Linked DNA regions of Struthio camelus. The protein of the gene in region 3 interacts with the protein of the main gene of each other region in a pairwise test. Links are inferred from orthologs where the notes say so. Each region holds a gene or a part of one and is shown on either strand. Other genes may lie near its edges.

Region 1 (7,296 bases), on a different chromosome or scaffold from region 3:
GGGACAAATCTCTTCCAGCTTAGGTCTCCATCCTTCAATAACTCAGCTTAAAGCTCTTCTCAGAAGGCTAGGAAGCCTGTTGGCAGAGACACCTGTGTCCCACTTTGTCAGGTGAATCTTGCTGGTAACACAGCTGCACAGTCTGCTCCAGCCCAAGCCTCTCCCCGTGACTGGCAGAATCAAGGAGAACCACTTGGGCCTTGTTGCCTTTCACCCTAGTCCCCAGAGCTCCTAATCCACTCTGGGTCTCCCATGTCAGTATCACCATGTCCATAATAAGCAACAAAATGTTAACAGTCTGATTCAAAATGTAACAGATTCCCAGACTTTGGCCTACTGGCTAAAAGCACACTCTGGGGCCAGTATTTGCTGTCCTTAGGAACAGGCCATGTGCGATATGACCACAGCTCCTGTGAGCAAGCAGCATTTTCTCACCAATTTCTTTCACTGCCCATAGACAGCAGAGGACCTGTGGAGCTGTAACTCCATATCCTGTCAAATAAAGCCCTTGAATGAGAGACATGACAGTGAAGTTAAAATCCTTTTCCATCACTTGGAAAAGAAGAAACGAGCTCAGCCAGGCAACAGGGAATAGTAAAACAAAAAGACCATATGGTAGTGTCTACTTCTGCTTCTATATAGATATTCAACAAAGGAGAAAGGCTGGAAGAAGAGGATTGAAAAGTCAGGTAAACTTTAGGACAGCAAATGTGGGAAGATACTTTTATGTTGATAGGTGGGCACTACATAAAAAGGAGAAGGATATGTATCTGTGGGAAGAAACTTGGAAGTGTCTGAAACAATGCCTTGACATTAATGGTATTTGAGTATGCATGCTGATCTTTAGGCAGTGGCTCTCATCCAAATGGTAGCAAGTTAAGAACTGCTGCTCTGGATAATCAAATTTTCAGTGGATTCTCCATTCTGTTCTCCCCTCCTGCAATATAAACGAACTGCTTATCATTAACAGATCATGAAAATATCCACACATGCTAATATTTTCCACATTAATTTTCATATTCATGTTAGACGCCAATTAAACATTAAACTACAACCGATAGCATCTTCATGCTCTTCTTCCATTCACACTGGTTACTGCAGAAACCCTAGCAATATTTGCTTTTCGATCTCACACTAAATTACTTTATGTCAGGCACTCCACTACCTTTCATTTTCTGGTATCTGTAGTTCTGCAGCTTACACTTCTCATTGTTCTGTAGTAAATTCTTATTATTATCAGATCATGCTCAATTCCTCTTCTTCATTTGTCAGAAAACAAGTTTTTGTGTCAGCAGCAATAGTAACAAAGCCTTGTTTCATACCAAATATGTCCTCCTTTCTTGTCACAATAACTCAAGCTTCCCCTATACTGTCCATGCCTTAGAATATCCTCAACTCCGTCCCACATTCCACAAAATATCCCAATGTTCTCTTCCAACATTTAGATCTTCCTGTAATAGAATCTTCCAGTTCCTGTCCCTTTATTTCCTAACCTCCCGCAAGTCAGTTGTGCCCCAGATACCCTTAGCTCCCCCATATCTCTTGCTTGGCTGAGATAAGAGGTAATGTTTTGCGACTGCTTACCTGTGACCTAAAAAGCTGATCAATACTCATGGCCAGCCACGGTTTACTGGAACACAGACAGGCAGTGTTGTTTCTCTCTTCTCCCTATGAGTGTCTCTCTCCTTCCTAACCACTCATTTTCAGGAAAGGTATGGGAACATCCTCCTCTGGGTCCTCTTACTCTCTGCCAAATTTGATTGAAATTACCAGGTGAATTAAGAAACAATAAGATGGGTGAGATGCTTACAGGCATGGGCAGTGTGGTTGTACTAAGCAAATACATTGGTAGGGCTGGCTGTGCTTCCTCTTTCTGTTAGTGTCACTCAGCTTTCATTGGGAGTTCTGAATTTTGTCTCCTCAAAGGGAAAACTGTCTCACTGAAAACTTAAGCAGAAACTCTTAATAAAGGCAAGACCAGAGTAAAACTGATAAAGTGCTGGCTTTAATGCAAACTTAAGCAGTGATAAAAACCTGTGTGGTTTGCTTCAATGAGGCACCTGATCAGTGACCACTAAACTTGTGCTGTATTTGGGCAGGCAGAAAAATCAGTGCTTGTTATTTAGCTTTACAGTCTTCAGATGAGAATTTTTCCTCACAGCCACTTCTATGACTTGTAGGAATAATTCATGATAACAATTATCAGCTCCAGCTAATGTGCTTTTAATTTCTCACTTCCTGAAAAGGTTTATTCAGCCATCTTATGAACCCAAAGGATACATCAACAAATTAGTGCTATGTTAGTGGGTATTGGCTAGGTATAATTTTAGTTCTGCTAAAAATGCATTATGTTTTCCTCCACTGCTATGAGGAATATTAAATGCTAACTTATCTAAATATTGCATTGTACTGCCCTGTCAACCATACAAACAGAAATGTTCTTATTAGAGTGTGCTGAAGATTTCAGCAAAATACCTAGTGATTTGACTGGGAGCAGTTTCAGATCCAAAACCATTTTCTAAATTTGTATTTCTACAAAGACATCTAATACCAAAAGTTTATCCTGTTATTTGATCTATAACTTCATAGAATCAAATTTTTATTGACATATTTTACTCACTCAAGAGATGACCACTTAAAACATTTAGTTTCCTAAGGATAGCTGATATTTAGGTGAAACACATAATATGGAAAATTGCCATCAGCCTTATCCTAACTAAAGCTTCTGTCAGATTACACAGAACTTTGATTTCTGTGTCACAACCAGTCTTTGGGCTCCATAGGTCTGTGCAGACCAAATTCATGTGTGAAAGACAGTGAAGGCAAATGCAACATGAAATAGGCCAAACTAGCAGTGAGATACCCCCAGACAGATTTTATCTTCCAGAAGGGGAATGCATAGACAAGCCAAACACAGAAACTCACACATAAATGCTTGTAACATGCAGCTTGTGCATGCAGCTTCCTCCCTTCTGTGGCTTTTTTTTTTTTTTGCCATCCCTACTCCCTTTAAAAGTGAAAGTAAGGATTTGTATATGCATGTAAACAATCAGCTCCTTCAGATCTGGTCTATATGCAGAGACTGATCTGCAGAAACACAAGGCAACATTTGGCTTGGCTTCTTCCACAGAATGTAGAAACAGAATTTGGCTTCCAAGAGGCACAAAGTCTTTATTTAAGTAGGAAAATAGTGTCTTGCATTCCTTTGCCTCAGAGAAACAGCCTCTCACGTACACCCAAAAGGTTCATTCCCAATAGGAGATTGTGCAGTCACAGTAGGAGCATTATTGCCAATGGTAAGAGTGGCCCAGAGCTATGTTAGAAGGCTGGATGACCACATAAAGGATGGATGTTTAATGCAAGACTATCTGTTCTCCCTGGACCACAGCTAAAAGGATGGAAATCATTGCTTTGGTTTGTAAAGTTCTTTGAGTAGTCCTAAGGTGCAAGTGGTTAATTTGAAGAGTCATCACCTCAAAATACTCTGACTAGTTATGGGCATTCTGTTTAGCAGAATGCAGTAAAAATTTTGTTTAAATTCCGCACGGAAAAAATATATATTTCCTGTTTCAGTGCACAATATCTAGATGCCTTCAACTGGGTATAGGATGGCTCAGCCAAAAAAAAAAAAAAAAAAAAAAACGCTATGGAGTTTAAGGTACGGAAAGAGGAAGGGTAGGGAATCTGCCCAAGACGTGGCCAAGGCAGCCCGGCTCTGGTGGATCAGCGTCCACCGCCTCCCCCCCTTCACGGGCAGGACGTACGCGCCGAAGGGAGGGCCAAACTCCCCCGGGGCCTAGGTGGGGCCCAGCCGCACGCACGGCAGCCGCCACGGCCCCAGGCCTCCAGGCGCTGCGCCTGCCCGTCGCGGCCGGGCCCGGGCCGGGCCCTGGGCGCTCAGCCGGGCCCCGCACCCCCTCCCGCGGCCGAGACACCGCCGCCGCCGCCGCCGCCGCCGATCCCCGAACCCGCCCCGCGGCCGCCGCGCCGCCTTCCCGCCGTGCCCCGCGCGGGCCGCCGCGCGCGCGGCATGCTGGGGCTTGTGGTCCGCGCGGGGCGCCCGGCCTCCCTCCGCGCGCTGCCGCCCGGGGCTTTCGCCGCCTGTTGCCCGACAGGCGCCGTGGCGGCCTTTGGCCCTTGTCGCGCCCCGTCGCCGCCCGGCGGGCGCGGCCTGCTTGCCGTTACCGGGGCATGCAGCGGCTGCTCCGGCGGCTGCTCCCGGCGGCTGCTCCCGGCGCTCTGCCCCGCGCGGGCCGCGGCGCCGGCTCCCGCCCTCTTCGCCCCGCCGGCTCGGCCCGCGCGCCCGCGCCCCATGGCGCTGCGGCCGGCGGCGGCAGGAGCGGGGGGCGGCGCGGGCGCCTCGCGCGCAGCCGGCGAGTCCCCCGAGCACGGTGAGGAGGAGGAGGCGGCGGCGGGCTGGGCGGCGCGGCGCGGCGCGGCGCGGCGCGGCGCGGCGCGGCGCGGCGCGGGGGGGACGGAGGCCGGCGCCGGCCGCGCTCGCCAGGCCCCTTCCCCGCCCCCCGCCGCCGGAGGGCGGCGCGGCTCGGGGGGGCTCTGCCAGGGGCCCTGCGTGCGGCGATGGCGCGGGCTCGCCGCCGCCGGCCCGGCCACGGGCAGGGCCCGACGTGAGGAGGTGCCGTGGCGTGGCCCGGCCTGTGTCCAAGGCAAGCGCTCCCGGCCCTCACGGTGCCTCCGTTAATGGCAGCCGTCTGCCGATCGCAGCGGAGCAGAAAGTCCTGGCGAGCTGTGACCTGGAGTGGTTTTAACGTGTGTTAATGCGCCGTCGCCTTGTAACGGTCAAGTTACGCACAGCTTTAAAACCCAGGTGAAACATGGTGCAGAGGAGTTCATCCGAAGACGTGTGTGCGCGCGCGCACAGGCATGCCTGCGCACCTCACACTGAGCGCCAGGAGGAGCTAGATTTCGCAGCAGTGGTAGTAGCGATCACAGGGAAGATTGACTCAGTCCAGTCGTAGGCTGTTGCTAAAAAGGGCTTCTGCTTTCATCTTCTGTGCTTGCTGTACTCTGTCCCCAGGCTTGCAGTCAGTTTAAGCATCCGATCTGGCTGAGTACTAAACCTACCAAAGTTTTTTTTTTTTTTTTAGAGGAAGTTTTTTTAAGCTGAGTCAGTTCTCTGGCTGTGTAATTGCTATTGCTAGCACCAGCGGTTCAAGATGTCTGGAGAGTAAAACGGTCTTCTTCTGCAGCAGCTTTCAGTTAAAATGTCTCCAAAAGATTCATTTGTTATTAAACATAAGGGAATAGTGCCTGGAGACCTAACCTCACTGTAGTCTCTAATGTGTAGATGTCAAATAATAGAAGACTGTTTTATCTGAGAGGGCAAAAGGCTGGGAAAGGAGTACAATCAGTTATCTTTTAAAAAGCAAGACAGCCGTTTCTGCTGCTTGATTTTTTTATTCTCTGATTTGTGAACTAGGTGTATCTTGATTCTAATGGAACAGAGGACTCAAATATTCAAGCAAACAGCAACCATTTAAGCAAATACAAATATAACAGTACTGTAGAGTCCTGTTCACATATGAAGTTCAGGCTAATGTAGTTAGTCATGGAATTAAAAGTAAGTTTATCTTTTGACAGTTTTAATGCTCAGACAGTTCCTATGGAAGCTGATTTTGTTACTTATGTCTCGTATTATCAACATTATGTCAAGACTTTTGAAGAATCTTGTTTTCGGTTTGTTTTAGTGACTAAAATACAACTTTTGAATTTTGTTACTGATTTCTTTCATAAACAGTTTATTTCAGAAAAGGTGAGGGATGGAGTTATTTCCTTGGGACTGTAGGATTTAGAAGCAGTGCCTGTTAAATTCAGGTACTTGACTTGGGGAGGGCCGTTGTTAAATACTAGCTGTGCCCTTCCTATGCCAAGCTATTACTGTGAGCAGACGGAGTTTTTCAGCTTTTTAAGCAGTCAGAAGACTAACCAGCATGTGGCTGGGGTCAGGGAAAGGGAGCAGGACTACCTCCTTTGGCCTCAGTGAGCTGTTAGATCGATTCAACCCACAATGTTGAACCTCACCCTCAGTGTTGATTTTTGCTTTCAGCTGGCTATCGTTTTGCCTTTCTGAATCTTTTTGGTAACTGCCGCAGAGTGACCTTCTTGTTTGTCTGTTTTGTGGATTTGGTCTTGTCTTTTAGATTGTGATCTCTTTAAAGGAAGGATTGTTATTTTCTGTATGCTTGTGAATCGGCAACAATAGAGGGATTCTAATCTGTTTTGTGTAAGCTGCATTTGAATCTAAATGTTAGGCAAAAAATATATTGCTGCTTTAAAATCTCTTTGTTCTGCATGATTCTTTAGTGTCTGCAGGGGGAACTAGCAACCAGTCTAAATACTTATTCTCTTTAACAGCCTCTGGCATAACTTGAGGTGTCAGGCTACAACCACAGAGTGATTTATGCCTCCCTACTTCAGGCTGAAATGAGTTAGCCCTTAATCAGATTGTTCTATTAATTATCTTCCCTAGCACAAAATGATATATGCAAGAAATCTCTCCAGGGTGATAATAACCCAGGTTGAGTCTGTACCATTGCATACATGCAATGTAGTTTTGCATGCCACGAGAACATAATACGCACTTTTGCTGCCAGATTTTCCCCTTGGGGCAGATTTGGAATATCGGCACTGGTCACAAGAGGAGCTTTGAAAGTGTATTGTCTGTAGTAATGAGCTGTCCTGTGATAAACTGAATTCTGACGTAACGCTTCTTCCACTACAGTAATCCCATTGTGGAGTTGTCCCAAAGGAATATTGCTGGATCTCTGATTATGTCCAAATTTTTTATGAAATATGCTAGAGGAGATTTTAGTATTTTATTTTTTAAGGTATAAGTTATATATGGAAATGACTCATGCATAGTTAGTACTCTTTGAGGGAGTGCAGAGGGACTTTTTATAGCTTTTTAGTTTAATTGTGGTACTGCTAGAAGATAGATCTGTGTATGTGTATATCTATAAATCCTTATACATGCAAAATGAATTGTGAGTTACATTGGTTCCTTTTTTAGCTTAAATGCTAAAATTTAACTTTTTAGAACCACAGGTTCAGATCACTGTTGTCTGTAGCACACCGTGCTGTGTATATCTGCAAGAAGAGGAAGAGAGTAATCATCTCGTTCCTGAATGATATAGTCATCTGAGAACTCATTGTTTTTATATGTAAATGGAAGGTTCCCTTTCTGCTCCTTTTTGCCTCGTTTTCCATGTGGTTATATTGAAAGTCATTTGTCGTTGTTTATCTACATTGACGTTCATTTGTTGTTACTGTTATCTATAG
Region 2 (7,878 bases), on a different chromosome or scaffold from region 3:
GGCGCGGGGCCTTGCACGCGCGCGTGCATCCTTGCACGGACACCTGCCGGGGGCACGGCCGGAGCCCCCTGGGCCGGCGCGGGCGACTGCGCGGCGCGCCGGCGCTGCAGCCCGGTGCCGAGTGGTCCCCGCGCCGGCGAGGGCCAGGGGTGCTTGGCACCCCCGCCGCGGCCACCCCCGCTGCGCCGTGGGGCAGGGCCGGACTCACGCCAAGGGCGGCGCGAGCCCCGGCGGCCGGCGGGCGCCCCCCTGCCGCCCCCGGCGGGCGTCCCCCTGCGCGCGGGGTGCTGCGGGGCCGCGGGCGCCCGGCCCCGGCCCTTCCGGGGGGGCGCAGCACCAGGAAGCGGCCCCCTCCCCGCTCCGCCACGCACTTTCCCGCGGCTGCCGGGAAAGCCTGGAGCAGGCGCGCGCCAGCCGGGACGGGACGGGAGGGGACGGGGCGGCCGCGGGGGCCCAGCCCCGGCCCCGCGGGACCCCCGGCTGCCGTGGGGCGCGGGGTGTGTTGTTTAATGCCTTAAATGCGGGGGGGGGGGGGGGGCGGGGCCAGGACGCCTGGGTCCTCTTCCAGGCGCTGGAGGAGGAGGAGGAGGAGGAGGAGGGTGTTGCGATGAGGGCGAAGGCGGGCGCAGGCAGGACGCCGGGGTGCCGGCCCGGCCGTGCCGAGCGGCGTCGGCAGCCGTCGAGGGAGCCGGGGGCTCCCGTCGGGCACGCGCCCGCCCGCCCCGGCCGGCCAGAGTTCGGGGGTCGGGGCGGGCGCCCGGCCGGGGCACCCGGCGGCCACGCGGGCACCCAGGCGTCCCGGCCGGCCGCGAGCCGGAGCCCCCGCTCCTTCCCCGATTTAGCAACGCCGCGCTCGCCCTGCCAAGCCCCCCTCCCCCAGCGCGCTCAGAATAGCTGCCTGGCGCCCTGCGTGCGCTCGCCGCCCCGCGCGGCCCCGGCCCGGCCCCCCCGGGGGCACCCCGGGGGCTCGGCACCCGCGGGCGCGCCGGCCGCCGCCGCTGAGCCCGCCGCCGCTCGTCACGCGTCAGGCGCCCCGCGGCCGAGCCCGGGGGCGCCGCCGCGCTGGTGCTGCGTGCCGCGGGGCGGCGCGGGCCGGGGGCGCCCGCGGTGGGCACGGGCGTCCGGCGGGGGGGCCCGGCCGCATCCTGCCGCGCCGGCGTGCGAGGGGGCGGCGCGGCACAGCGCGGCAGCTCCCGCGCCCGCCCGCCCGCCTGCCGCGCTTCCCCTCGGCGCCCCGGCGGCACGGGGAAACCGAGGCCGATGCGAAAGCGCTCGGGCTGCGCTCGGGCGGGATTCGGAGCCGGGCGTCCAGCCGGAGCTGCCGCTGCGGCTCGGTCCCGCCGCGGTTCGCGGTAGGATGGGCGCCCCCGGCCGCGGCGTTCGGGGTGCCCCGGGGTCGCCCTGGCCCTGATGTCAGGCGCATGGCATCCCCCGGCGCGCGGCTGCCCAGCTGCCGCCGCATGCCTGGGATTCCTGCGGCCTTGAGTCACGCGCAGCCGCGCGGCCCCGCTGCCACGGGCGCCCCGGTGCCGGCCGGGCACCGCCGGGCACGGGCATCGCGCTGGGAAGCACGCGCAGCGCCGGGTGCGTGCGCTGTGCCGGCACGTGCACACAGTGTCGGGCACCGCCGGGTGCGTTGCTCCGCAGCAGGACGCACGGATAGCGCTGGGCTCTGCCGGGTGCGTTGCACCATGCCGGGATGCACGACAGTGGTGGGCTGTGCCGGGTGCGTTGCACCGCAGCAGGACGCACGGATAGCGCCGGGCTGTGCCGGGTGCGTTGCACCATGCCGGGATGCACGACAGTGGTGGGCTGTGCCGGGTGCGTTGCACCGCAGCAGGACGCACGGATAGCGCCGGGCTGTGCCGGGTGCGTTGCTCCGCAGCAGGACGCACGGATAGCGCTGGGCTCTGCCGGGTGCGTTGCACCATGCCGGGATGCACGACAGTGGTGGGCTGTGCCGGGTGCGTTGCACCGCAGCAGGACGCACGAATAGCGCCGGGCTGTGCTGGGTGCGTTGCACCGCAGCAGGACACACGGATAGCGCCGGGCTGTGCCGGGTGCGTTGCACCGCAGCAGGACGCACGGATAGTGCCGGGCTGTGCCGGGTGCGTTGCACCGCAGCAGGACGCACGAATAGCGCCGGGCTGTGCCGGGTGCGTTGCACCGCAGCAGGATGCACGGATAGTGCCGGGCTGTGCCGGGTGCGTTGCACCGCAGCAGGACACACGGATAGCGCCGGGCTGTGCCGGGTGCGTTGCACCGCAGCAGGACACACGGATAGCGCCGGGCTGTGCCGGGTGCGTTGCACCGCAGCAGGATGCACGGATAGTGCCGGGCTGTGCCGGGTGCGTTGCACCGCAGCAGGACACACGGATAGCGCCGGGCTGTGCCGGGTGCGTTGCACCGCAGCAGGACACACGGATAGCGCCGGGCTGTGCCGGGTGCGTTGCACCGCAGCAGGACGCACGGATAGCGTCGGGCTGTGCTGGGTGCGTTGCACCGCAGCAGGACGCACGGATAGTGCCGGGCTGTGCTGGGTGCGTTGCACCGCAGCAGGACGCACGGATAGCGCCGGGCTCTGCCGGGTGCGTTGCACCACGCCGGGATGTACGACAGTGGTGGGCTGTGCCGGGTGCATTGCACCGCAGCAGGATGCACGGATAGCGCCGGGCTGTGCTGGGTGCGTTGCACCGCGCCGGGACACACGTGTTGCACGGGCCGCATGGGGCACCCGCTGCACCGCACGGGGACGCAGGCGCGGGGAGCGGGCCGTGCAGGGCGCAGGCGGTGCATTTTGGTGGGCCAGGCGCCGCCGCGGATGCCCCTCGTCCGTCCCCGCCGGGCTCCCGCGGCCCTTTCGTCGCCGCTGCGGGTCGCAGCCGGAGCCGCTGCTGCAGAGCGGCGGTGGCGGTGCCCGTGCCGGTGCCCGGGCGGGCGGCGGGGGCCCGGCCGCGGCGCCCTGCCCCCAGCCCCGCGCTAATCGCGCTAATTGGCACCTTGGCTAAAGCGCTTAGGCCCTCACCTCCGTGACCCAGATAGCAGCTGGGCCGGGGGGAGGGGGCGCCCGGACGCCTGGGACCCCGGCGCCCATCTGGCCGGGGCGCCGCGGGGCCGGGCACGGGTGCCGGCGCGGCCCGGCCGTGCCCCCCGCGTGCCGCGGCTCCCGCCGCCGGCCCAGCCCTGGACTTTGCCCCCGGGTTGTTTTCCAGCTCCTGCAAGCGCCCGACTCAGCAGAAACCCCGGCGGGGCGCGGGCCGGGCGGTGGGCGCGGGCCGGGGTCCTGCGGGCGCTGCGCCGGGTCCCCGCGCTCCCGCCCTGGGCCAGCCGGTCCCGGCAGCGACGCCGGCCGCGCGGGAGCACCCGGCCCGGGGGCTCGGGGCGCCCGGCATCACCGCGCGCACTGCCGCCGGCCTCAGCCCGGGCAGCGCCGCGGGGGGCTGAGACCTGACGGCGCTCGTTACACGTGGCCCGTTCTGCTGCCCGCAGGCAGCGGGAGACGGTGCCGGTGGCACGGGGCCCGCGGCGCACCGAGGAGGAAGAGGAGGAGGAGGAGAGCCGCCTCCCCGTGTCCGTCTGCCGCGGCCGCCCCGCGCCGGCGGGATTCCTCGAGCGCCGCAGCCCGCCCGCCGCCGCCGCTTCCTGCGGGCACCGCGGCACACGGCCCCGCGGCCCTCGGCACCCGGAGCTCGCCGGCCGCCGCCGCAGCCGCCCTGAGCCCAGGCTTTACCCCCCTCACCCCGCGGCGCCGCACCTTCCCGGGCATCTGCCAGCGCCACGCGTGTGCCGAGCGGGTCAGGGCTCTGCTGGCCGGGTCCCCGCAGCAGGGACGGGGCCGCCCCGGACTCCTGGGCCCCGGGGGCCGGCCGGGGGGGCCGGGTGCCCGCGGGGCGGCGGGCCCGCGCGCAGCCCTGGCACCCAGCCAGTGCCTATACTTGGAAGTCTCCGCGCGGCGTTCCCATATGGAACAAACATTTGCTGCAGCCCCCGGCCGCCGCGCCGCGCTGGCTCTATAGGTACCGCCCGCGGCCGGCCCCAAAGCCCGGCCTGGAGTGCCGTGCGTGGGGCGCTGTGCCCCCCCCCCAGCCCCAACCCGGGGCGGGAGCTGGGCAGGGGACCCAGGCGTCCGGGGCCGCCGGCGGGCGGGCATGCACGCAGGCGCGTGGCGTGCCGCGGGGCGATGCAGCATGCCTCGTGCGAGAGCCTCGTGCGAGAGCCTCGTGCGACGCATGGGGAGGGTCGCGCCGGCCGCGAGCCCCGGCCGGGGGCAGGCGCAGGGGAGCCCGGCGCCGTCCGGGCCCGCGGCAGCTCCCCGGTGCCGGCGCAGCGGTGCCCCGGCGCGGCCCGGCCGCAGCCGCGCTTTAAATCCGCCGGAGGAATTTCTGCCGCGGCCAAGACAAACGTGACCTACTTTCTGCCTGTCCCCGCTCGGAGCCGGAGGAGCCCGCGGGCCGGGCACGGCGCCTGCCCGGCCCCCCGCCGCCGCCCCGGTGCTGGGGGGGACGCAGCCGTGCACCGCGTGCGGGGGGGGGGGCCGGGGCGGCGCGGGGGGCCCCCGCCACCTGCCTCAGTTTCCCCCATCGCGGAGGGGTTTGGGGGGGGGGGGTCGGGCGGCGCTGCCCCCGCCCCGGCCCCCACCGCCGCCACGTCTCTGCCGCAGGAGAGCTCGCCCAGGAGGGATCGCCGGCCCCCGCCGCCGTAAGTCTCCCCCGCCCGGTGCCGGGGCCACGCATGAGCCGAGCGCGTCGGGGCTCAGCCCGGCCCGCTCGCGCCTGGCCCCCCCCCCCCCCCAACCCCGCAACCCGCGCACGGGGCGCGCTGAGGCCTCGCGCAGCTCGGTGCAGGCCTGAGCGGGCGCCGGCGGGCTCCCTCCGCAGGCTGGGCCGCGGGATGCTGCGCGGAGCTGAGCACTGAGGCGGGCGCCATGGGGCGCGCGTCGTAGCCGCCCGCCGCGGCCCCCCCGCGCCCAGCGCCGGTGGCGGAGCCCCCTCGGACGGTGCTGAGCGCTCCTTGATGGAATTGCGGTGAATGGAACAGAAGCCCAGCACCCTGGACCCGCTGTCGGAGCCAGAGGACACCCGGTGAGGCCCCCCCCGGCCCCCCGCCGCGCCGCCGGCTGCCCCTCTGCTGCGGCAGCCGGGAGCCCCGGGCGAGCCCCCCCGTGCCCCGCGCGTGTCCGCCCCGGTGCATCCCCGTGCCCTGTGCACACCCGTGCGCGCCTGCAGCCCGTGCACACCCGTGTCCCGTGCACACCCGTGCCCCATGCGCGCCTGCAGCCCATGCACACCCGTGCCCCATGCGCGCCTGCAGCCCGTGCACACCCGTGTCCCGTGCACACCCGTGCCCCATGCGCGCCTGCAGCCCGTGCACACCCGTTCTCTGTGCACACCCACGCCCCGTGCCCGCCCGCAGCCCGTGCACACCTGCACCCCGTGCGTGCCTGCAGCCCGTGCACACCCGTGCCCCATGCGCGCCTGTGCCCCATGCGCGCCTGCAGCCCGTGCACACCCGTGCTCTGTGCACACCTGCGCCCCGTGCGTGCCTGCAGCCCATGCACACCCGTGCCCCATGCGCGCCTGTGCCCCATGCGCGCCTGCAGCCCCTGCACACCCGTGCTCTGTGCACACCTGCGCCCCGTGCGTGCCTGCAGCCCGTGCACACCCGCAGCCCGTGCACACCCGTGCCCTGTGCGCACCCGTGCTCCATGCACGCCTGCAAGCCGCGCCTGTGCCTTGCATGCTCGTAGCCCATGTCCTCCGCATGCCCCGTGCACGCCCAAAGCCCGCACGAGCCCCTGCCCCGCGCGTGTCCCACGCACACTTGCAGCCTGGGCACGCCTGCAGCCAATGCAAACCTGTGCCCCAGGCGTGCCCGTGCTCTGTGTATGCCCTGTGCGTGCCCAAAGGCCATGCACGGCCGTGCTCCACGTGTGCGTGCCCCAGGCGTGTGTGCCCCGTGCATGCCCAACGCCCATGCGTGTGCATGTTGTGTGTGTGTCCCATGCATGTCCAACACGATGTGTGTGCGTGCTGTGTGCGTACCCTGTCCATGCCCATGCGCTGTGCGTGCCCAGCACCCATGCATGTGCGTGCCCCATGCGTGCCCAACGCCCATGCATGTGCATGCCCAACACCCATGCGTGTGCGTTCCCTGTGCACGCTCATGCCCCGCACCCATCCAGCACCCATGCGTGTGCGTGCCCTGTGCATGCCCAGTGCCCATGTGTGTGTGTGCCCCATGCATATGCATGTCATGTGTGTGCCCCAAGCATGCCTGTCCCCTGTGCACACCCAGTGCCCATGCATGTGCGTGCCCCATGCACGCCCAGCACCAATGCATGCCCATGCCCCAAGCGTGTGTGCTGTGTGCATGCCCCATGCATGCCTGTGCCCCATGCGTGTGCGTGCTGTGTGCGTGCCCCCTGCATACCGATGCGCCATGCATGTGTGTGCCCCATACGTGTGTGCTGTATGCATGCGCTGTGCATCCCCGTACATGTGCATGCCGTGTGTGTGCCCCATGCGTGTGCGTGCGCTGTGCATGCCCGTGCCCCGTGCGTGTGCATGCCGTGTGCGTGCGCTGTGCATGCCCGTGCCCCGTGCGTGTGCATGCCGTGTGCGTGCCCCATGCGTGTGCGTGCGCTGTGCATGCCTGTGCCCCGTGCATGTGCATGCCGTGTGCGTGCCCCATGCGTGTGTGTGCGCTGTGCATGCCCGTGCCCCATGCGTGTGCGGGCGCTGTGCATGCCTGTGCCCCGTGCATGTGCATGCCGTGTGCGTGCCCCATGCGTGTGTGTGCGCTGTGCATGCCCGTGCCCCATGCGTGTGCGTGCGCTGTGCATGCCCGTGCCCCGTGCGTGTGCATGCCGTGTGCGTGCCCCATGCGTGTGCGTGCGCTGTGCATGCCCGTGCCCCGTGCGTGTGCATGCCGTGTGCGTGCCCCATGCGTGTGCGTGCGCTGTGCATGCCCGTGCCCCGTGCGTGTGCATGCCGTGTGCGTGCCCCATGCGTGTGCGTGCGCTGTGCATGCCCGTGCCCCGTGCGTGTGCATGCCGTGTGCGCGCCCAAGCTCCCTGCAGCCGTGCCTGCGGAGGGGGAGGGCCACGGGCAGGGCCCAGGCGTCCGGGGGCCCCGCCAGCGCCGGGGCTATTTCGGGAGCGCTGCCCAGAGACGCACGTGCCCGGGGGGCCCGGCCGGGGTCACCTTGGGCGCCCGCCGCCCCCCGGACGCCTGGGCCCCCCGGGCGGGGGGCGATGCCCCAGCCCCGCCCGGCCGGGCCCGGCGCGGCAGCCAATGGGCTGGTGGCGTGCGGATGAGGCGCGGACCCCCGCCCGCGCCCATTGGCCGAGCCCCCGTGATGTCACTTCCCCGCTGAGCCAAAAGGACATTTTGTCTTTGACTGTAAATGAGCCCCTCCCCCACCGCCTTCCCGTCCCCTCCCCCACCACCCCTCCCCCGCACCGCCCCTCCCCCACTCACTTCCCCTCCCCTCCCCCACCCCTCGCCCATCCCCCCCGGATGCCGTGGCCCGGCCGGCCCACGCGTGTCCCCCTGCACACGTGCCACCAGCCCCGGGCCGGGGGCTGGCACACGCGTGCCCACATGGGCACACGCGGGGTGAGGGGTGCCCCTGTCACAGCGGCTGGCCGGACACGGGTCGCGGGGTGCACGGGGACACGGGATGCAGGGGCCTGGTTGCACGGGGACACGGGGTGCACAGGGACACGGGATGCAGGGACCTGGTTGCACGGGGACACGGGGTGCACGGGGACACGGGGTGCACAGGGACACGGGATGCAGGGGCCTGGTTGCACGGGGACACGGGGACACGGGATGCAGGGGCCTGGTTGCACGGGGACACGGGGACACGGGATGCAGG
Region 3 (7,977 bases):
AAAAACGGCATCCACTGCAAACTCACAGTCTTCCTTACCCAGGCTATCCTTGTGTACTTCAAGTAAAAAACCATCATGAAAATCTGGCTCACAGGCACAGGGGACAGGTTTAGAACGGAAGCGCTGATTCCGAAAATGCAAACACAGAGTGAAGGTAGAACAGATTTGGCCAGGCAAAGGCTCCGGTTCCTGAAGATGTTCCAGAAAAGCTTTTCCGCCCAAAACCTGAAGGTAAAGATACCTCCGTGTTGGGTTAATATTAGCTGTAAAGCGTAGCAATAAATATGAAGAAACTACAAACAGATCTTAGGAAGTATGTTTAAAATATCTGTTATCTAAGTGGAGAATAGAAAAAAAAAAAAACTCTTTCAAAACAAGTGCTTAGGGGAAAGCAATTTTAAAACTTATGGAAGATAATATACAATAAATGCTATTTTATGTGCAACTAACTTCTGCTGTTTATATGAACCCACTTGCATCTAGACAAGTAAGAAAAACATCTATTTCTGCACAATATGGAAACTTTAAATGAATCCAATTCGCTCTGTAATATTAATTCAAAGAGCTCAATAAACCTGCACTTAATTTATTTTAAAACTATAATCCAAACATTAAAATAAACAAGCAACATACCTTTTTTCAGAACTGGTGGTTCTCTGTCAACAAAATGCGTAGATGGCTTTGGAGCTGAAGTCCTCTCCTTGTCATTCACTTCCTGGAATTGCAATTAGACTTCTTAAAGAATCAAGTGAGGCAACAGTGCTATTCCTGTTGTCTCTTAAAAATTAAAAGAATTCTCTCTTTCTACTGACTGTTGTTTCTCAAATATATTGCCTTGTAGGATTTAAGATGTAAGGGAACTGAACAAGTACTTTCAGTGTAATATTAACACTAAACCAACTCAGTACTTACAACTCAGTAAAGCTAATATAAGCACTTAGAAGTAATTGAGTCTGCACTTTATAGTAAAAGAGCTGTCATAACATCAAGTCGATAATAGGAATAACCAAAATACATTCATGTTTCAAAAGCTACTTACAGTTACAAATTTAAGCTCTTTAATAACATCATCAATGATTCCTCGCTGTCTTAAGGCTTTTATCAGGTCTTCCGTGGATAACTGTTGATGCTCAGGTGCAAACTCTTCACGTATAGTCTCAGCAAGAACTTCTCTGATCTTGCCATGAACATCCATCTGAACAGAAAATTCATCATATGCTAGAAATACATGTTCAAACTCTCATAAGCTTTGTAAATAATACTTCTTAATAACCCCCACAGTATTTAAATTCGCACTCAGCTGTATCACAGCAGAATGCAAGACTGGTCTCTTCAAACTTATTTTCATTTTCCTCCTTGATTGAGGCTTAAGTATGATAATAAGAATAAAAGAAATGAAGCTCCTTATATGGTCACAGTTAGCACTAAAACGTTTCTCTGTAAGGTAACGGGTATTCTCCTAGGAATACAGAGATAACTGCACCAAAAGAATACCTCTTTCTGCACATAAATGTGTACCAAACAACTTTTTATTGTTTAGTGAGAAGTACCGCAGCAAGTCACACTATCTCACCAAAGCAACTGCACCAGTTAAGAGCATTCCAAACCTGAGCATTTCCACTGCTTGTGACAGCATCCCCAGCCTCGAACATCCCTTCTCACCAACAGCCCTGCAAATCCATTGATTATAAAACTTCCATGCTTTTAATTTCTCTTCTCCCTCAAAATTCAAACTTATGGCAATGTGTGTATGGGAAATAAACTGAATGTTTTTGATCAGGTACATCCACCGTCCTATCAGCCCTGATGAGCCTCCACTAGCTGAACAGCCCAAGCCACTGTATCCTTATCGCACCATAGGATGTGTCTTCAACCATCAAAAGTTCTTTGGAAACTGTCAGCCCTCTGATGCTGTGGAGGTCTGCGTGTTTGACCTGCAAGATGAATCTAAATGGAAACCCATGAGCGGAGAAGCAATAAAATCTGTGTGTTCCCCTGGAACAATATCTTCAATTCCTCCTTTTCCTCCTCTTACTTTTTACAGAAAGGAAAAAAAAAACTTTAGATTGTTGCAGGTAAGGCATACAAATAGGGAGCCTCCATCGCAAGCTTTTTCTATGATCATAAAGCCAGAATTTCTGTACTTCGATGGCTCAGCTGTGAAACAGCATGTATTCCTAAAGTTGTTTCTCCCACAGGAACGATGCAAGGCTATAGCCACTGAGACACTGCGATACTTCCGCGATGCGAGCTAAAGCACTGATATTTCTCTCCCACTGTTTTCAAAACCCCGCCCTAGTTTCTCGCTCAACAAGCGGCGAGCAAACAGACGGCCTCCCGGTGCCTCCGGCCGCCGTGGCTCCCCCCCTCCCCCCGCCGCCTCCTCTCACAGGGCCGAAAACGCCGCTCCCCTCCGCCGGCCCTCCACGGGGCAGCCCCGACAGCGGGAGCGCCAGCACCGGGGGGGGGGGGGCGATGCCAGCTCCATCGCCCAGAAAAGGGGAAACGAAGGGAAAGAGCGAGGACGGCAGGAGAGGGCGGGGAAAGGCCGGAGGCCAAGGCGGCCGTTAGACCAGAGCGCTGATCCTCGCAGGCCCTCTTGGGGGGAGGGGGGGGGCCGCAAGCGCCAACATGGCAAAACAGCACCTCGGGAAGTACATGAACCTGCTGAAGTACGGGGGGGGGGGGAACAAAAGGGATGGGCGAGGGAGCGGACACGGAGCTGGAGGCGCCTCCCCCGCCTGGGCGGGCATCGCTGCCTCCAAGGGCCGGGGGGTCCCTATCACCGACGCACCGGGGATTTCTCCGAGTAGACGAAGTCGCTCCGCGCTCAGGACGGGCCCCAGTGCCCGGGGGCCTCTCCACCTTGTTACCGCCCTCACCTTGACCAGCTGCTGGTGGATGAGCTGCTTCAGCTCCGAGGCCTTCTCCGGCGGTAGCGACATGGCGGCGGGACGAGCCGCGACGCCCCGCACTCCGGCAAAGGGGCGGGGGGTGGAAGACCAGGCCGCCGGCCTGCGCGCCGCGGGCTAAGCCCCGCCCCCAACCGCCTTTCTAACGGCCGCCGCGGCGGGCCCGGCCCCGCCCCCTCGCGGGCGGAGCAGCGAGGGCGGCGGCGGTTACGGCCGTTGCGTTGGCGGCCGTGCTCGCCCACTCGCCTCACCGGGGGAGGGGGGGAGCCTGAGGTAGGAGGAGGGGGGCGGCTCTTTTCTCTTCCTGCCGGCATGTTTGTTCCGTGTGACCATGGCAGCGGCGGCCCCTCCGCCAGCTCGGACTTTGACGGCTTCACTCTGCTCGTGGTAAGTGGCCTTGCTGCTCCCCTCCTCTCGCCGAGGCGGCCGTGGGGAGGTGCTGCCAGAATGGAGCGCTCCGGGGCGGGGGTGAGGGACGTGCTGCTGCTCGAGGCCGTGGCTCTCGGGGCGGGGGGGGGGCTTCCTACAGCTGGGGCCTGAAACAGCGTCGGAGGCTTTGGCGGGCGCGGACGGGGGCTTGTCCGCGCGGCTCGCTCCCGCTTTGGGGGCGGCAGGCCGGGGACGCTTTCCTCTCCCCTGTCCGGAGGTCGGCCCCGGAAACTTCTCAACGGCCTGGGGGGAAGGGGGGAGAGAGGCTATGTACACTAGTCTTCAGTGGCAGATTCCTTAGCTGTGCTATATTTAAGCTGAGCTTGGAATTGGTTTAGAAAATACTTTAATAATTTGTAACGTGAAATCGATGTAAGATTAAACTGCTAGAGGTTACTTTGTGTATTGTAGGGTACGAATTCTAGTACAGGCTGTGAAGTAGCAAGCCGTTATTTTTCCTATTAGTAAGTGCCTTTACTTTATCATCTAAGGGTAACCTTATCGCCTTTCATCAGGGCCAGATCGCCCCTGATGACTGTGCATATTTACATGAGGTACAAGATTTTATACAGGAAGTCATTCCAGATCAGCTGACTGGGAACAGGAAATAGGTCATTGCTATTTTCTTTGTCTAGGAATAACAAGCTGTTGAGCACCAGGCAATTTGTAATGACGGTCTGTAACTGCTGTTACATCCTTTTTCGCTCTGAGGTTATCGGCATCAAATTCCTTGTGTTTCCAGGATTGCTGGCCCTTGGGCAGCAGCAGTTCATAGGCACGGGCTTGCTTATAAATGAGTGGGAGGCAACTGAAAATTTTACAGTTGTCTTCCATTTTCAGCTTCTGTAGAAGGACACAAACTCGCAAACTGAATTTTTCCTTGTATGCTCTCAGATTGGGTCAGCATCAGCTTTGATTGGTGATAACATATGCTAATTTACTTGTGTTTTTAGGACAATCTGGTATTTATAGATTTAACGTGCAGTATCGGCATTGCCATTCACTGTCACTTTGGGGCTGCCAATCTCTGCATTAGATTTTGGAGTGATTTTTATCTACTCTGTAGCCAAAAAAGGGGGGATTGGGGAGGACACGAGGACACCAGTCTCCAAGCCTTTTTTTTTTTTTAAGTTTATAATGAGACAGGATTATTGACAGAAGCAACCAGTATGTATTTGTGGCATAGGGACCACATTATATATTAGTAAGCTGTTAACAAGTAGTAACTTCTGTAAGAAAATGGTGCCACTTTAAGAAATCATATGGTTAACCGGAATTCAGCTAACTTAAGTTTTCACTGTTTGCAAAAGCATGCTGTATTGTCCATAAAACACGCTGCAATTCTTTAAGTGAATTATGTCTTTACTATTGTAATGCTAAAACACTTCTGTTACTTCAGCCAGCAGTGTCAGTGGGAAATGTTGGTCAACTGGCAATAGACCTCGTGATTTCCACACTGGACATGACTAAAGTTGGCTACTTCTACACTGATTGCCTTGTGCCAATGGTTGGGAATAATCCATATGCAACTGCAGAAGAAAACTCAACGGAGCTGAGTATAAATGCTGAAGGTATGTATTGAATGCAAGCTAGATCTTAAATATTTGCCTGTAGAAAGCAGTTGTAAGAATGTTTCTCCTTTTTTTTCTTACCTTTTAGATGAAGTTCAATAATAACTTTTGTAACCAAATCTCTGACTCGCAGATAAGAATGTAAATTTACACTTTGTGGAGGAAACTTACTTTTGTTATTTTGCATAAATAGTTTGAAACATGGAACCGGTAAGAAATGTTGAATCTCAACCATATTACAGTGCTGCTGAATCTCTCTGCAGTTTTAATCCTAGATAATGTGGAAAGTGTGTCCATACCTACAGTAAAGCATGGCATGCAAGCTAAATTAGAGTATAAAAGGATATTCGTCCTGTCTTCTTCCTTCCCACCTATCTTTGCCTTTTCCTAGTGTGGAGGGTTTTTTTTTTTCTTTTTTCTACCTTCAAGTTTTCACTTCCTTTCTGTGTCTTGATCATAGCATTTCAAATTATATTGTTTTTTCCTTTTAAATCATGGAAATCTCGAGATAATCTGTCGTAATCTCTGCAAAGCTGTATAAAGAGTTTATCTGAGTCACTGCAGGAGATAGTTTTTGTTTTGTTTTTAATAAATTTTTACTTCATTCAATCCTTTGTTTTTATGCCAAGTGAAATTAGATTCAGTGAAGATGATGCACAAAAATACGTATTTTTTTACATTACTGAAAAGCCTGAAATAATTCACAATTTGGTAAGAGAGCTGAAAGGTTTACCTCAGATTTATGGATTGGATAAATCTGGATACTTCTAAGCTCAGATCCTTTTTTTTTTTTTTTTTGTTATGCACTGTTTTATTTTCTCCTTGTAGTGTATTCATTACCTTCAAGGAAACTTGTAGTTCTGCAGATCAGATCACCTTTTATAAAGGTACGTATGTTCATTGTTCTCACTTCAGTGTTCAAGTTCAGTTGTTCTACTGGCCAGTAGTTTTCAAATGGTCTAGAAGAATTTACTCTATTATAATATCTTAAAATAAGCACAACTGAAAAAATTCGTGCTCCCTATTATGAAATAATGTCTTAACAGCAAAATATACATTTTAAAAAAAAAGCAAAATGTTTTTCTGCTTAGTGATATAACGTCTTCCGTAATTGATAAAATTTTAGCTAACAAAAGCTGTCTCCTACATTCATTAATGGTTGAGATTTGTTTGTTTGCTTGTTTGTTTCAAGCTCTGAAACAGCTCAGCTAATTCAGTAGAATTTAGTGAAAATATGTCCTTAGTTATTAACTGTCTTGACAAAACAATATGGTCTGTTTCCCGCCTGTTTATTTTTCTCTTCATATTTATTGTTTTTGTGTATTTGTCTTTTCTTAAATAGCTTAATTTTTGCTGTCACCCCCATTTATTTCCTGCTGTTCTCTATTCATTATATATAAACAGTTAAAATTAACTGTTAACTGTATAGTGGCTGTGATTTAAAATGGGCAGAACACCACACGAGAGTAAATTGTGTTGTAGTATTTTTGGCAGTTTAAATTGTGGGAAAATACTGTGGAATTTTATCATCCCATATTGTTCTAAAGGTTTTCCCGTTGATATTAATGGCACACAGAATGAGTGATACAGTTATTATTAATGTGGTTTTCATAATTTTTATAATTATACATATATCTTTGATTAAGTAAACAACCAGTGTCCTCTGCTTTTTAAAAATATATCTGAAGACTGAATGGATATGAAGAAAAAAAAATTTCCTCACTGCTGAACACTAAATATAACATCTAGTATTGTAGACTTGTGGCTTTTCTTAAGGGCATGAATTTTTTTTTTTTTTTTTGGTCTCTCCTCCCCCCCCTCTCTCTTTGCGTAAAGAACAAGTACAGGCCATTCTGTCAAGCACTGCTTTCTTGGGTGCAAACCAGCAAATGTGCTAGAGTTATTCTTCTGTCTAGCAGCCATGCATACCAGCGCGATGATGAGCAACTTCTTGGGTATGTGTGTGTCCTTAAATGATTTGATTGTTTTTTCTGTTATTTTTGGCAAACTGGCATATATACTTAGTACTTTTTGGCAGGGTTCTTTTGCTTTACTGTGTAGGTAGATCATAAGATACTTAATATATTATTAAAATAGTGTGTTATACAGCATTAGGCTCTGAGCTTTGTTAGTCTCCTGACAATGCTGAGCAAATAATATGCCATAAGTAAATTTCTGCTTGGCCTGCACCATCAGCCTCGATTTTAACAACTTAGTTTGTTATTGCTGCAAGCGCTGTCAGGGATTAGCTGCTAACATACAGCTCACCGATTAGATTTTTAACGTTTAGTTAGAATATTTGAATTTCTTACCGCTTCTTAATTATTCTGCATTTTGGGTTTTCTTTTTTTAGTAAGGTATCTTTTTATAGGCAGTTACCAATACTTACCTGCTAGGAAAAAACTACACAGAGTTTTATTAGGTGTGCCTCCCCCCCCACCCGTTAAACAAAAGAAAAAGCATAGCTTGATGATCGAGGCCTTGATAATCTATGACTTACCAAAAAAAAAAAAAAAAAAGTATTGTTCAAAATGAACAACTCTTATCACCAGGGTGTATAAATGTTCAGAGCCCTGAGGAGGTCTAGGTCTATGCATGTTCTAGATATAGTTACCATTGATTTTGCATAGAGTTTCTAGAGTGGTCAGCAGACATGGACTGAAATGAGGGAGACTGATGGTTACTTTATGTATTCCGAGTTCATCAGTTGTGGTGACTTACTCTGAATAAGTCTGATACCAGAGAGACACTAATGAGTGAAGGTAATGCATTAAGGAAATACTGAAAGACTTAACAGAAGTCTGCAGATATTTGTAGTTTAAGTTTATTACAAACATTATATCAAAGTGAAGCCCAAGCTTACTTTAACTAACTTTAATTGAATAAATTCCCATCGGAAGGAAGAATAGCCACCATTTCTTTTGTAAATCATTTTAAGAAGCCTATAACAGTTCTCCTATTTAAGTGCTTGTATATTTGATACCCTCTTTTTAGATGCCCAAATTGGCACGTATCTTGAATACTCAGGGGGAAAAATAATGGCTGAGCTTTTTTAATGCTTCTGA

Evidence for each region. The genes of interacting proteins can lie anywhere in the genome.
Region 1: the proteins of CEP76 (region 3) and AKAP7 interact in a two-hybrid assay, tested with the Homo sapiens proteins (3 studies listed by BioGRID). The two-hybrid records come from large-scale screens. The link is inferred for Struthio camelus from reciprocal best matches to the Homo sapiens genes CEP76 and AKAP7.
Region 2: the proteins of CEP76 (region 3) and THRA interact in binary tests that used the Homo sapiens proteins (3 or more experiments, as listed by UniProt). The two-hybrid records come from large-scale screens. The link is inferred for Struthio camelus from reciprocal best matches to the Homo sapiens genes CEP76 and THRA.

Annotation. Positions count from the first base shown.
Region 1 is NC_090944.1:71,235,220-71,242,515, forward strand, and holds the start of AKAP7 (A-kinase anchoring protein 7), read left to right. Parts: upstream 1-4,295; 5' UTR 4,296-4,312; coding exon 4,313-4,391; intron 4,392-4,535; exon of another isoform or gene 4,536-4,825; intron 4,826-7,296. UniProt on the Homo sapiens protein: Probably targets cAMP-dependent protein kinase (PKA) to the cellular membrane or cytoskeletal structures.
Region 2 is NC_090966.1:6,798,797-6,806,674, forward strand, and holds the start of THRA (thyroid hormone receptor alpha), read left to right. Parts: upstream 1-4,877; 5' UTR 4,878-5,028; coding exon 5,029-5,081; intron 5,082-7,878.
Region 3 is NC_090943.1:113,582,855-113,590,831, reverse strand, and holds the start of CEP76 (centrosomal protein of 76 kDa), read right to left. Parts: upstream 3,008-7,977; 5' UTR 2,946-3,007; coding exon 2,883-2,945; exon of another isoform or gene 2,795-2,882; intron 1,196-2,794; coding exon 1,040-1,195; intron 716-1,039; coding exon 634-715; intron 264-633; coding exon 39-263; intron 1-38. Other genes in the region: PSMG2 (proteasome assembly chaperone 2), read left to right, coding at 3,225-3,299, 4,741-4,912, 5,741-5,799, 6,749-6,867. UniProt on the Homo sapiens protein: Centrosomal protein involved in regulation of centriole duplication. Required to limit centriole duplication to once per cell cycle by preventing centriole reduplication.